Styela clava: one gene and its partner. The protein of the gene in region 1 interacts with the protein of each later gene in a biochemical or structural test. Links are inferred from orthologs where the notes say so. Each region holds a gene or a part of one and is shown in the gene's direction. Other genes may lie near its edges.

Evidence for each region. The genes of interacting proteins can lie anywhere in the genome.
Region 2: of the proteins of serine-protein kinase ATM-like (region 1) and cyclic AMP-responsive element-binding protein 1-like, one has a biochemical effect on the other in vitro, tested with the Homo sapiens proteins (2 studies listed by BioGRID). The link is inferred for Styela clava from reciprocal best matches to the Homo sapiens genes ATM and CREB1.

What each region holds. Positions count from the first base shown.
Region 1 is NC_135262.1:13,263,083-13,270,565, reverse strand, and holds the start of serine-protein kinase ATM-like, read left to right. Parts: upstream 1-4,461; 5' UTR 4,462-5,379; coding exon 5,380-7,483. Other genes in the region: zinc finger protein 862-like, read right to left, coding at 1,289-3,631.
Region 2 is NC_135252.1:2,241,885-2,249,770, forward strand, and holds cyclic AMP-responsive element-binding protein 1-like, read left to right. Parts: upstream 1-4,692; 5' UTR 4,693-4,822; coding exon 4,823-5,635; 3' UTR 5,636-7,313; downstream 7,314-7,886.

The sequences.
Region 1 (7,483 bases):
TGCATTGCTGAAGTACGGTGCCGTATTCTGGAATATTGCGGTACCCGGCTGACCGGTACCGGTATTACTGTATTGAGCAGTACCGGTATCGGTAAATATTGCTGTCATTGATAAATTCACATGTGCAAGGTTGTATTATTTTCTACTATTAACATTCTGACATTTCCTGACTTTCTACATTTGCAAATACATTTGCATGTATTGCATTTTTGGAATGCATTTTTTTGTTGTTTAAACCAAATTCTAATTTGTTTTGATGACTCAACCCAGGGTCTTACTACTTACTGAATACAGCGCGAAACACCGCAAAGAGCGCAAAATAGCGCGAAACAGCGCAAAAGAGAGGAAAACAGCGCAAAACAGGAGACGCAGTCATTACCACCTCCTGCCACGAAAGAACCACGGCGCCTCTCGCCATGGTTTTATGGCGCTATTTCCGGCATATTTACAAGGTTATGTACCGGATTATAGGTCATCATGCGAAATTTTATCTACATTTTTGGTGCTCCAGAAGTATGTGCAGCAATATGTCGCACAACCTGAATCCGCTACACACACACACATACTATTTTCAGGTCAGGCTTGCAAATCCGCGCCCGAAAGCGAGAGTCTAGGCATACTCTCGTCGACCTCCTAACGGAATTCGAAAGATTCAATGACGTCATAGTGACGTCACATATACTCCCGTCCCAGGAAAATGTTACGCGAGTCAGGCACGAGTCAATGTGTCTAATTATATCTACGCACACACTATCTACACACCTACTTTCGCTCGATAAACACTACTCCGTCGGTACCCTCGTTCTGCGATATTGCTACTTGCGAGCGTCTCATTAAATACTAATCAAGATAGCTGCGTGCTCTGCGACGCCGTTTTCCCCGCACGACGTAAATGACCTAATTATATATCGGGGTAATCAACCATGTGAATAACTCTCAACAAGTTACCCTACAAAGAAAATAATAACTCAAGTTTTGCAAAATAAAGGGAGGAACTTTAATAAACGGCAGTCGCCGTTGCCATCGCCTGTTTTTTTTTTTTTAATAAACAAAACCATTCGTGCAGTCTGACATTTGCCGTACAAACTGAAATCTATAAAATAAGTTCGCATGTAGCAGATGAGTTCATGCAAAATAAACATCGCACAGAAAGAACGAAATTGAATATTAAACGCTAATCGCCGCCCGTCGACTTCGCATCATTTAAAATGTATAAAAAGAAAGGTTAGAAATTGTGTCGACGAACAAAGAAATGCGTGTGACGCTTTCAGGTTCACATATCACAGTTTTAGTCTTCTTCCGACGAGCTATCGTCGATGTTTATTAGTTGAGGCTGTACCAAGCTGGGCTTTGCCGTTTCCAACCCCCCTAAAATTGAATTTATACGTCGTTTCACGAGACCTCGTTCAGACGTCCCATCGCTTCCCATAAATCGGGCGGAAGCCTTGTTGACCAGATTTTCTCGAATGGCCCCGTCTTCGAACTGTTCTTTTCGCGTGGCAATTAATAGAAGATCTTTTATCATATTGTGTCCGAGATGTGATCGCCAATCAGTGAGAATTCGCCGTAAACAACTGAACCCTCTTTCGACAACAGCATTTGAGAATGGTAAGCAAAGCACTAACTCGACAACGATCAACAAATTTTTATACGCCTCCTTCTTTCGCTGGTGCAACTTGTGCCAAAAGTCGGTAGTGCTCAAATCTTTGTAAACCTCATTTCCCTGGACGTCATACTTCAAATCATCCCATTCTTTCAAGCATGCACCCTTCTCGCACCCAGCTGCGTGTAGAGGTACTTTGAAGTACTCAAAGACTTGTGAAAGATCTTGATTGCCATATTCAGGGACGGACGCATTAATCCCGCCATCCGACATCAAGATTTCAGGGTTCAGCCATGATAACTTACTCAAAATGTTTTCTTGTTCTTCTATTTCTGTAAATCGCTCGTCCAGGCAATCACGCAGATTTCTTATGCATTGCGATCTTGTTGTTTGGGATCTCTGGATGATGGTTTCCTCTGCAGAATGAAAAACCACGCTTTCCTCGTGTTCCAGGAGTCTGGCGGTCGGTGTTTCACGCCTTTTACAAGTAATGCGTATTGCCTTCGTTTGTCCACCATCTTCGTGTCTGGTAAAACGGAACGGAAGCGGAGTGCAATTTAGGTCGCCCCTGTCATAAGCATCGAGCGCTTCTCGCTCTGCAGGACCGCCGCGAAGTTCCATAGAAGTTAATTTCATTTTCAACCGTTTTATCTGCTTGATAGCGTCAATAATGGATGACCCGTCATGATCTGATTGTATTGCGATTGACGTGGCAGATACCCAATTTACGATATCCTCGTATTGGCGACATAGGATATAGAACTTGAAGCTGTGAAGATTAACAAGAAATTTCTCAGCCTTCATATCTGACTCAGCCTCCCTCTGGTTAGTGAAATGATGTATGTAAACAATCCAATTTGTTTTTAGCGCATGGAGTGCGTTGAGTGTGTGTGCCACAAATCTTGTGCCTTGCGACTTTGGTACACTAACAACCGCGGTCTGCAACTTTTCTGCCGCATTACATACGGCGGCCCATTCTTTAGGGCTATTCCGAAAATGATAATATATGTCAATAAGGAAGTCAATAACTTGTTTGAAATGGGGGGTCAATGCGTCTTTCGATGCTAGTTCAATTCGATGTGAATAGCAATGTACTTTGATTAGCCGACCAGGGCACACGTCCTCCCATTTTTTAAGTAAACCCGTTTTACGCCCAAAGTTAACAGCAGCGCCATCGGCGCCGGCCCCGATAATTTTTGAAGAAAAAGGCTTAATAAGTTCCACAAGATTTTCAATGGGTGTCTCACAATTTGTTGTTATATCGGGAATCAGGAAACTCAACAGAGAGCGCAATGTAGCGTGGTACAAATTGTTAGCGTCCACTCGAACATATTCCTTCATTGAAATCAAGTCAATTTCGTGTACAGCTGGTTTGCATTCGTGCGCTATTCTTATGTAAATTAGTTCCGACTCGTACGATAACTTGCGCTTGACGACTGTTGACCCATCCACCATCCAGCTAAAAAAATTTACTTTTTTGTGCACTTCATTTCTTATTGAGGACAATATCTCCTCCGCGAGAATATGTATAAAGGCTTTACAACCTTCTCTGTTACCATATGACGTGGTTATTTTGCCGCCATTGTCTGCGCACAGTTGTAATAAGTCCGCAAACGCATTGAAAGGCAGTTCCTTTCTAGAGACATACAGTGCAGTACGAACAAGAGGTTTTATGGCGTTCTCCGCCCTCTGTTTTTGGCAGCCCCATAAGCGAGCGATACTTGTTTGCGTCGGGAGCTTCCCATTCTCAATTTCGACACACTTTAAGTGGCCCTCGGAATTGAGGTGTCGTTCTAAATTATATCTTAAAATCCATATGGTGCCATTCTCCCCGTAAGTCGTCACATCATTAACAACTTTGCCTCCATAGCCGCGCTGTATTCTGTCACAATGTTTTTTGCATACAATGCATGCTGCATGTACGACTTTGGTATTATCTTCGTTGAAACCGAACGTAAAACTGTCCTTTAATCTGTTTGGCCAAAACTTCCAGGCCGCTACAGAGACGGACCTTGATTTTTCCTCCATTTACTCTAATCATACAATTTATAATATCTCCTGTGGTATTTTTAAACAAACAAAAAACGGTGTTACGCAAAAATACCCTTTTACCGGTAATTTACAACAAAACAGCCGTTAATATAACTAATTAATTACACTAGCCCTAGTCTCACCGACATCTCATCTTTGTTAGTCTGCAACACTTCTATTAAATTCATAATACGCATTCGCAGTCTGCCTTATTACAAGGGAACATTCTGCATTCGCCAACGCCAAGTCGTCTGGAGGCATGCCCGTGCTTGATTCCTCGCTTTTCGCTGTAATGTACTATTGTGACATCATAAACCATCGCCCGCAAACGATTTTACGTCACTAAAGAATAAAGAGAGAGAGGCGGCGGAAAAAATCGCCTCGGACTCTCGTGTACTGCTGGACGCGAGTAATGACGTTTTTTACGGGAGTAATAGCTAGACTCGGGTAGGGCAAAATACGCGAGTCTAGACTAGAGTATGACTCGCGTACTCGCGTAGATTTGCAAGCCTGCAGGTTGTGCGCCATCTTGGTGCACATACTTCTGGAGGTTCCTTTTTATCTAACCCTAACCCCAAAGCCAACCATATCCATATGGAAAATGTTCTAAATTATGGTACCCAAAATGTGTCACCAGCAGGGGCTGCTTTGTGTTTTCAATTTGCTGCCGTGGTACTCCAACTCAAAACAAGGTGCCCCGAACTCATTGCAAAATTTTTTTCTGCTTCACACTGTTTCCCTCTGTCTTGCGCTGTTTCCCTCTGTTTTCCGCTGTTTCGCGCTGTTTTGCGCTCTTTGCAATGTTTCGCGCTGTATTCAGTAAGTAGTAAGACCGCTCAACCCATGCTCCTGATTACATTGCACTAGTGTGTGTAGAATAGAACTCTACCCATATTTGCTTGTTCAAAATCACACTTGATATGTTTAACTTAAATTCATTCAATAAAACAAGTTACCCAAATAAGGGGTAGCTTGTCTGACCTGCTTTCCCACTTCTTTTTCGTTTCGATCATTTTATATTTTGCAATATAATTTCAATTTGTGCAAAATCCCATTATTTAAAAGAATGCTTCCATAATTGAAAATAGTAAATTCATGTAAATATTGTACATAGTATAAATCGTGAGAGACATTGATATATTGACACGAACCTGTTATTTTTATGCTTATTTAATATAATTGGGTGGCAACTGACCCTGATGACCCCCAAAGGTTGTATCGTTGCCCCCAGTCATATATCGAAAACTATTTTTTTGATATTTGTTCATGTGTGCATAAATTGTTTTCTCGGTTTGACAAAATGAAATAAACTCTCTCTCAAATGAACTTATTCAATACTGTACCGGTGATACGAGTAAAGTTACATAGTCGGGTGACTCGGATATTCCACAAACCCAGTACCGTGAGCTCAGTTTTTAAATTTTGATATGTCTGTATGTAGCGTCGATTATTGCAATATTCTTCAGTACCGATGACAGGATGAGTTATTTTGAGTAAACTCTGAGACCTGTAAGAAATTAATATTACAAAGGGAATTTTAATACTAGGGAGTTCAGACATTCAACGTATCGCTTCACAGTTAATCTTACATACTTGTGTACTTACAGTATTATGAATATTTAAATGTTGCATTTTTCATTGTTTCACATTCACTCATTTAAGTTGTTTTATTGTTTTTTAAATTGTGAATTTGCAGTTATTTACATACAGACATATGTATCAGTATCATGTGAAAATACAAAAATATGAGTGGAAAGTTGACTGAACTCTTCAATAATTGCTCTTTACTGGATTCATCAAAAATAACTGATCAAAACAAAGGTTTGAATGGGATTAAACTTTTTATTGAAGATTCAGAACTTGTGAGCAGATTGAATGAATCAACAGATTTCAAAAAAGGATGGAAATGGAATCAAGTATTCAAAACTGTTTATAATTATTTGGAAAAAGAATCTGGGACATTGTCCAAACAATATGAATCTTGGGCTCTTTCGACAAGAAACAATAAAATTAAAAAAGTGCAAGATGTACTTATCTTAACAAAAAGAATTCTACAAATTGCAAATGTTGACTTGGTTCGAATTAAAGTAACAGGTTTTTTAAATTTTCTTATCAATTGTTTACATTCAAATTTGTTTCGATTAAATTACGGTGTGATGATATTATCTTTAATAGATAAAGAAATTCTGGCTGAAAAAAAATACATCTGTGATTTAACGAAAGAAGTTTATGACAATCTTTTTAAGATTTGCATGCTCGAGTTGACGCAAGAAGGAAATGAAACGAAGTTTGCGTCATCTGTTTTGTTACGATCTTTAACACATGCTTTAGTTCTTCAATCAGTCCCTAGTAGTTATCACAATCTACATTCAATTTTTGTTAATGTGATAAAAGGTTTAACTAATGTAAAGACACCTACAATATGGGAGAATGTCCTTACAGCTGTGAATTTATATATAAAATGGTATGCAGTTTCTTACCGAATATCGTGTTGCCAACTTGGTGAAGATTGCATCGATACTATTATATGTATATGGATCGGAAATCTTTTACCAGAGTCCACATTAGGTCAAGTGATTGAATTTTGTTCTCGACAGATTACGTTGCATCATCCTAGGGGAAGCATAGACCCTTCTTCTTGTGCATACGCGAAAGATTATGCGACATGGCACACACAGCTGTTTTCTATTTTATTAGGAACAGAAATGCAGCTTTCAAAACAATCATGTTCTCTTTCATATAGATTGAAAACAGATAGAACTGTGGTATTTAACAAGGGATGTATTCAACTTGCTGCATCAGCATGTTCTGTCCTGTTTGACCTTCATTTGAATCAGAAATTCAAAGGTCAAAAATCAACACCCAATCAAGTTGGTGACCTTCTGTTGAACAAGATTAATTTTGATGATAAAAGTTCATTTTCAATAATATTTTCGTTTGACAAAGACAAAAAGGTAACAAATGCTGAACAGTATTGGATGGAAATTCTTTCCTGTCTACTGCAAGGAAATGAGGAGTTCTTGAATGTCACTGTTGCTTTAAAAATTGCTGCTCAATTCCAGCATCTCATTACAAAAGTAAATCTCAACATTATTGGAATTTATTGTTTAAAGTGTTTGAGTATTGTATTCAAGACTGTATCATGTCACATTCCAAAGGTCTTAAAATCCTTTGATTCTGAGTTAGCCATTATATGGAAAGATTGTTGGAATGTCGCCACCACCTTTTTATCACAAGCAACAAAATCAGTAATCAATAACACTGTTCTAGATCTTCTCACAACTCTTGTACGATTAGATGGAAAATGTAAAGCAAATTTTTTTATTGCAACAAGATGTGTAAAGAACACACAAAGCCTTTGGTCTTCTATATACTTACACATTGAACCAAATGATCATAGTTTGAAATTTGTCAAAGCTTTTATTGATACCTATGGTCTTAATTCTACCCAGGATGATAATAATTTCTTCTGCACACTCTTGCAAATGTTGACTGTCAATCCCACTTTTATGAACTGTGAACCTTACCGTGTGATGTCACAATGCGACCCACTTTGCGTATTATTATTACTTTGGATTTTGGGATATAAAGAAGAAGATTCTGACAGTTCTTCTCGTCAACAAAGTTTTACAAAATCTGAAAATTACAGTCAGACGCCTCTTCAAGATTCTCCGAAATTAATGCCCACTTTAAACATAGTTACATGCAAATCGGAAACAGATAAAATTGACACCGCTGAAATAGCCCAACTATTATTGGGCCTTTGTCAAAAAAGTATAATCTGTAATGGATGTCATGTAATCAAGTATGTGGATTCAATCTCCTCTGATACAGTCAATGATTCTTTTG
Region 2 (7,886 bases), on another chromosome or scaffold:
TCTTCTTGATTATATTGAAACATCAATTGAAATATCTCATGATATGAGTCAACTATGTAGCCTACCGTATTACCGGATCAAGTACCGAACCACAGTCAACATCTCACATAAAAACGTTACTAGATAACATGCGTCAACTCAATAAATACCACCTGAATCGGGTTACAAATTTTGGTACACTGACTGTCATAGCCGTTTAGGGCTGATGGGCAATTCGACTACTCACTGCACAGACAACTCACCAGGTCTATATGTAGTCGAGTTGTCTCTGGTGAGTTGTTCGTGTGTAGTCGAGTTGCCTGCCTCCCATTTCACATGTCTCGTGACAATGATCTTCTCTTCTCCATTCAATTGCAACATGAATTGAAATATTGAGTAATCCGTTTCATTTCCTTCTCCATTATTGGAACAAAATTTAAAAAACAAGCCCCGCTTTTACCAGACAGCTACGAGTTAGTTCAGTGTCACCCATTGTGTTATGCCTACGGTACCGGAACTGCCCTATCTACAGAAGTTCGTATCTTGTGACAGCGTGAATTGAAATTGCAAGATGGTCCGACTCACAACCGTAGTAACACCAACGATCCGAGTCACTACTGTTATATAACACCAAGTACGGCACTATTCGCCATTCACCATTCCTCAAATCTTAGCAAATCAAGGATTCCAATACGAAACATCGACGTTCGATGGCACGTGATCAGAAGAACAGAAGCGTCCGCAGAACGGTCGGTGACATCATAGCAAACAAAAACAAATCTCACAAAGCCAACAGAGATATTTGAAATATATAAAAGTGATAGCCTTCTGACGAAAAATTTCATCTTTAACCACTAAAAATTTCAAAGCAATTGGTCCAGTAATCAAAGAGAAAAGCGACCTTTTAGATTTTCCATTAGGTGTCCAAAAAGTGTCAAAGAACAACAACAGCATAATATTGAAACGATCGTTGTGTCCATTACCGTGTCCAATAATCGAAACGAAATAGATGGGAGCGCAGGGAAAGATATCAATTATTTGGGTAACTTGTATACTTATGAATGAATGTAAGTTAAAACAGAACAAGATGGATTTTGCACATCCAAACAATGGATGTGTTATATTCTACTATACACATACTAGTGCAATAAAATCAGAAGCACGGGTTGATCATCGAAACAAATCAGATTTTTGGTAAAACAATATCATTGGTTATAAAACGTTATCATGGAACCGGATATTTACCTCTACATCATTGACCGATTTAATATCTCTTTTTGTCTGAAATATACAGGGATCTGTCAATGAATAAACTATATTATAAGTCCCTCTATAAAATTAAGTTTTTTTTCGAACCCAATATAAAAAAATTGCTGAAGTGATTTTAGAATTTAGAGATATTTCTAGAAATATGTGGTTCCGTGCTCGATGAGTCATCAACACTTCTTCGTCATTGTCTACGCAGCAGCCATCTTTGATGTCATAACAGGGGAAAACGTCACAGTTCGGCTTAACTAATGACGAAAATTGCGTCATATTACGCTAGTACTTGTAAAAATAGTTTGGTGTTGAAATAGTTAAAAACAAAGCAGGAAAAATGTAGAATATTTTCGTGATATGTATTAAAGTAAGTTGATACGTAGTTATTTACAAGCTGACGTCACTTAGACCCGGGAATGATGAAAAGATTTTTGGGCATGTGCTGTTGTATTGAATCCGTTTCCCGCATTTTCGTTTTGATTTTAGCTTGAATTTGGGCGATGCCAAATTATTAAAACACTTGAAGACATTTTAGCAACAAATAAGGAGGATAAATTATGAAATGAAAGTTGAAGGACACAATATTTGGGTCACCCCACGTTCCGGCCATAAGCCAGACAATACTGCAGCAACGGAATTCATGAATACTAACCATGGTTGGAAAAGGAGAAATACTGAAATCTGCAAATGGCCTGATAATATTGTAGTCTATAAATGAAAGGTATAGAGACAGCTTACCGATACACTGATACATATAAAATCAGGAAGTTAATAAGGTAAATTAACGTTTTACGATAATTTATAATATTGTAACATCCTGGTCTGTGATCTGGTGATAGTGATCCAGGGATGACAGATTGCATAAATCGTTAGAGACCTTACAAAACCGAAATTTTGGTACCGGTATTGAAAAGTGAAAAGAAAATGTTTCTGTTGTTTATCCTGCTATCGCTGTACTGCACCTGCAGACCTGGATGAACTGTAACCTTCCACTTAATCGTATACGAATATACCAAAAAGTTTACAGATTGGTCTTGGCTCTTTTTTCTCATTGTGTATCTTCTCTTAGTATGAAATAACAAAACATCATATATCAAGAACAACAACTGGAAGTTTTGGTTAGGTTACGTTCACAATGAATACCTATAAACTGTGGGTTTGGTGTAGTTTCGTACCACATGTACTTCTAGTTGGCTTGGCTCAACAGTTTTTGGATATGTCTGTATGCTATTCCTAACCACTAACTCCCACCTAACTATGCTACCAAAAATCATGTCACAATCATATCATAGAGCTTGACAAAGTATAGCTACGATAGCCCAAAATGGCAGCTGTGCCCCTGATTTCGAGCTTACTAACGCCAGCTCTCTCTCATATCAGGATTACTACGACAAAAAACAAGAGAAATAGCTAGCTCAACTTCAGATAATCCTCTGTGTGTTTTGAACGACAATCTGTATATTTTGGGGGGCCCTATTACATCACAGTGGCGTAATTTTCGGATGACGTAATCACATGGGGGTAAGGAATGACATATGCAAAAAGTGTTACGCCATGCCCACCAGAAGTTATCGTGGTACAAAACTACTCGAGACCCTAAAATGTCTCTCCATGTATTGCAAATATAGGATAGCATGCATAACTAGCAAACGAATTCTGTAAATAGCTAGAGATTTAAATTTGGAATTTGCAATTTATCTGAACTGATGAAGACAACTTATTATAGTAACACAATATCATTGCACAATGCTAGGGGTATATAATAATAAAGAATTATGTTTAGTCACCTATTTATCTTTGTTTTCTCTGTTATGTGTTTTCCATAACAATTTAATTTTGTTTTGATTCATAGCTTGACAGGGGCGCTAATATTTTCTTGTTGAAATGATGATATGACAAATGGTCATTAATAAATAACTTGCAAAGTGTGTTTTTACTTCCACTTTCTTGTATTGACATTATGATGACATTGTCTTTAGCATCTTAATGGGAACGTTTCCTGATAAATAATTTTGTTGGATTCATGTTGTTAATATTTTAGGAATTATTGAAAATTTAAAGGAATGTTTCAGACTTATTTCATTTTCAAGATGAAATAACATGTCGCCCAGTTGTTTCAGATTAATTTACTGCTTAGATTACCTGGAATATGTGAATTGTGATTTTGCCCATAAACAGGAAGAAAGAATTTTATGAAGATGTTTTCTTTACTCCTCATTATCATCGTATTAACTGTAGAAACAACCCTACTAAGATAGTTTTCCAAATTTCTGGAATATCTCTGTTCATGCAATAAAGGGCAAAACTGTAACAACATTTCATGCAATCTAACGTGTGATAATAGTAAGAAAGTAAAGGGAGTATATGAATGGAATCGATAACATCGTTAATTTGTGAATATTGCTATTCTATCTTTGAATGATATTGAGCCATTCTTCAAGTATATTCATGTACCGTAAGTATCCCATCATCTCGATCAAATTTTTTATTACCCATATCGATCAAAATTTGTCACATTTTGATATCATGTATTCTTGGCATTGTGATATGAAGTAGAAATAAATATATATAAAGATAACATCATGAAACTTATGTTTTAACCATTCATATGTTGAGTTCATGAATTGGCCAGAGAAATATCAGAACCAATTGAAGCCGGTCTCATCGAAAATGAAATACTTCTGGTCTTCTATACACCTTGTCATAGTAAACCAGAACAATCTAGCTGAAAAGGGGCACTTTTGACTTGCCTCGTCCTACTAACAGCCTTCATATTTCATAATGTAATTGTATTAACTCGTGTATTGAAGAGACATTTTTTGAGTACTTCTATTTTTTCATGTTTTCACTCAATAATCATTCCATGCTTTGAAAATTACTGAACTGTAATTACCGGTAAGATATGTTTAAGTTAGACAACAGATGATAAGGAAAAATATCCAATTGTTTTAATGTCATTTTATCCAATACCACATGCTATTCTATTTACCGTTATACTTTTATCAAAGTTATATTAGTTTCTATTCAAGGAGGCTATTTAATATTGCCCAAAATTTTATCAATTTGGATAATAGGGCAGTTCAATTATCAGGTTAAGTCAATTGAAAAAATAATGGTATTCTGAAGAATAGAATTATCCCAAAAAATTATTTAACTTAATAATACTAGTCGAAACAATGTTGGTTGTTTTCGTCTGGTACATTCTCACAATCAATTCCAAATTTAACATCTGTGCCATGCTAATATGTTACTGCTTGAGTCTAGTAGAACATGGATTTCATTGGGTGACAAACTGATGGTGTGAGTAAGTAAATCGGTTTTCAGACTAGAGGTAAGTATATTGAAACTAATAATAAGCAGAAACTACATAGCTTACGCCGAAAATATGATTGAGGCCATTCTACTCAATCGCTTTGCATATCTATGTTAATAAATATAACAATTTAGTGGTTGGTCAATTTCTTTGAGATTGTGTTTTTGCTTTAGGTTTTGTTATTTTATTAGACTGTGTTATACTAATATAAACAGTAGAAAGAACAACTTTTATTATCGATATGATTCTCTTTCACCTATAAACTCAGCAATGGAAAGCGGAACACAAAGTGTTATCACATCTAATCAACAATCTGTTATTCAGTCACCTAATCAACTGAACAACGGAACTGATTCTGCCAGGAATACTTCATCGGAAGACACCCAGGCTAATTCTGACACAGCTAAAAGACAGCGGGAAATCCTTTCTAGGCGTCCTTCTTATAGAAAAATATTGAGTGACCTGTCAAGTGATAGCCCTAGTGGAATTAATCCCGCCGTGAAAATGGAAGTGCTAAGCGAAAATAAGTCCTCTGAAGAATCTGAATCAGAGTCTGACTTGAGTGCAATCTCAATCAATACACCGACAATAGCATACCAAACGAGTACGGGCACTGTTACTATTCAACAGGCTCCACAAACGATACAGATATCTACACCTTCCATAAGCGACCAATCTGACATGCAAACTTTTTCTGTGGCAAATGCTCTGAGTCAGGGACAGGCTATAGTGCAGCAAGATGGTCAGCTGTGGGTGCCTGGAAGTCATGTTGTTGTCCAAGGCAGTGGTGGTGATCTTCAGGCATACCAAATTCGCTCAACAGGTGGTGGCCAGCTTTCTGTTGTATCTGGTAATTCACCGTCCAACACAGTGCAAACGCCGCAGCAAATGGCAGAAGAAGCATCCCGAAAACGAGAGCTAAGATTAATGAAGAATAGAGAAGCAGCAAGGGATTGTCGACGCAAAAAGAAGGAGTACATTAAGTGTCTGGAAAACAGGGTACAGGTACTGGAAACTCAAAATAAGGCACTTATCGATGAACTTAAGACATTAAAAGAGATGTACTGTGCAAAGGACATGTGATCTTAAATACAGGACAGGAATGTTAGACATCCTGTTTGTCCGATAGCTTGCTCAAGCCTATAACTGGCAGTGTTAATAACAGCTGAATATTTGTCAGACTGAGTTTATATTGAAAATGCCCACTCGCATTTTTGGAATTGCAAACTATGTTAAATGAAGCCTCAACTTCACCAGTTTTAGTACTTCGATTTTAATGAAGTATAATATAGTTGGTAGCATCGAAACCTAACACAAATTTAATGTAATACAAATCAAATAATAATACAATTGTATCTTCAACTAATCTTGTTTTGTGATAATAATTTTATAAAATACATATGTATAAGGAAGGTTTGACTTGATAGTATCAATATCTTTCAGATTTACAATAAGGAAAAGTCAATATATACTTGTGAAGTTATTGTATCATTAGGACTTTAGTAGTACTTCCTAATTATTCTCACAAATCTGTATTTTTTGAAAGACTGCTTTTATTTTAAATCTATAAAATGTATCTTCCGAGATCAATTGAGACGAAAGAAAAAAATTTAGTGGATATATTGCTATTTTATAAGGTCTTGAGATTTTAAACTGAACTACTTTTGTGCACCTAGTGTCTGTCTTGATTCCTACTTGAAGATGATCATCTTAAAAATTTATATACCGTAAGATGCGGAAACTTTTATTTTTCGAAACTTCGAACTGGTATTTAATCGGTTATGAATTCTGTAATCCCAAATATTTGTTTGAAGTTGCAGATGGTGATATGTTGTGATTTGAATTGGTGATTCTTATTATCATTTTCTCACTGCATATTGTACATATAGATTATTTTATTTGCAGTGCAGTTTTATTGTTGCCTGTTTTCCTTGTAATTATATTTTTGCAGGGTTACTAGCATTTTTGTTGCAAGTTTATATCTGCCATGCATTGGCCAGAATTAATTTTGTAACCAAAACCTTCTGTTTTTAAGTACCAGTAATTAAGATTTTTGCATTTCAAAAAAAATTTCTAGCTTTTTCATCTAATTTCATTTGAATTTTGATTTGCAAGAGAAATTGATGGAAAATATTCAATTCAATGACACAAGATGACTAAAGCACTTGAAAGCTGCTTATTTAGGGACTTATTCACTCAGTTTTTCAATATTTCAAGTATTTTCAATAGCCAAACTCAATTCCAAAAACTTCGCCATTTTTATAATTTCGCTAATTGCTTAAGAGAGTTAATGTTATACAACGGTACATCAGCATGTTCATTTTAGTCTAATCTTTATGTTTAAAATATATCATTTATCCCAATTTCTGTGGCAGAAAGAAAAAAAGTTATTTAATAACTATTTTTGGCGCAAATTTTAAATGCTGGAATTGAATCATTCAGAACTATCGTTTTTTCTGCCTGCATTCAATCAATTACGGTTTAAAACTTCTGTTCATGAATTTAATCTTCTGCCTTGAAAAACTATCATCTTCCAGGATTTGAGATGCACTGCAATGACAGTAATAAGAATACAGCAATTCAATCAAGGAGGTTGCTGGACACACATACTGTTCAAGTATGATATGGTTAGTTCGTTGATCTCTTTATCTATGTAAATTTGAATTTATGATTGCCTTGAATTTAAATTTGATATCAATGTGTTTGTATTCGGCTGTATTGTTTTGTTGCGTTTAATAATATACCTATTTCTTTTGAATTATTTTACTCTCGACATTTCATCCTGATACTGGGGAACGCAGAGCCAATGTAGTACAAAATGCAAATTTGTAGTCTTTTTTTTCAATAACCCTCAATCGTAAGCCACAATTCACAATCTCATGCCTCTGTTGGGAACATGTGTAATATTTCATAGCCATATATGACTTTCCAATTTCCTGATCCATATTTGAATCAACACAACAGATGTCTGCAATATTTTTATCATACAGTTGCCATCCATAGGATAACGAACATAGGTATTTTTTGCTGATGGATTGCATTGGCACCCTGTCTAAAATCTTATTTTTATAATTTGAGTTAAGCACGCTTGGTTAAAGTATAATCTGTGTTTCTTCTCCAAATGCATCCTGCAATTTACTTGATAAGTACGACAGTTGCATATTTTTTATTTGTGGACGGTGGAAGCAATCCTGACTTAAAAATTTAGTATCATGATTCTAATTGAATAATTTTTAAAAGCTATTAACAACCAGCTGCCACTCCAAATCTTACTCTTGTTTTGGCTTTTATGCAGTCCACGGACGCCACAATAGCTTACTTGTGCTTTTTACCT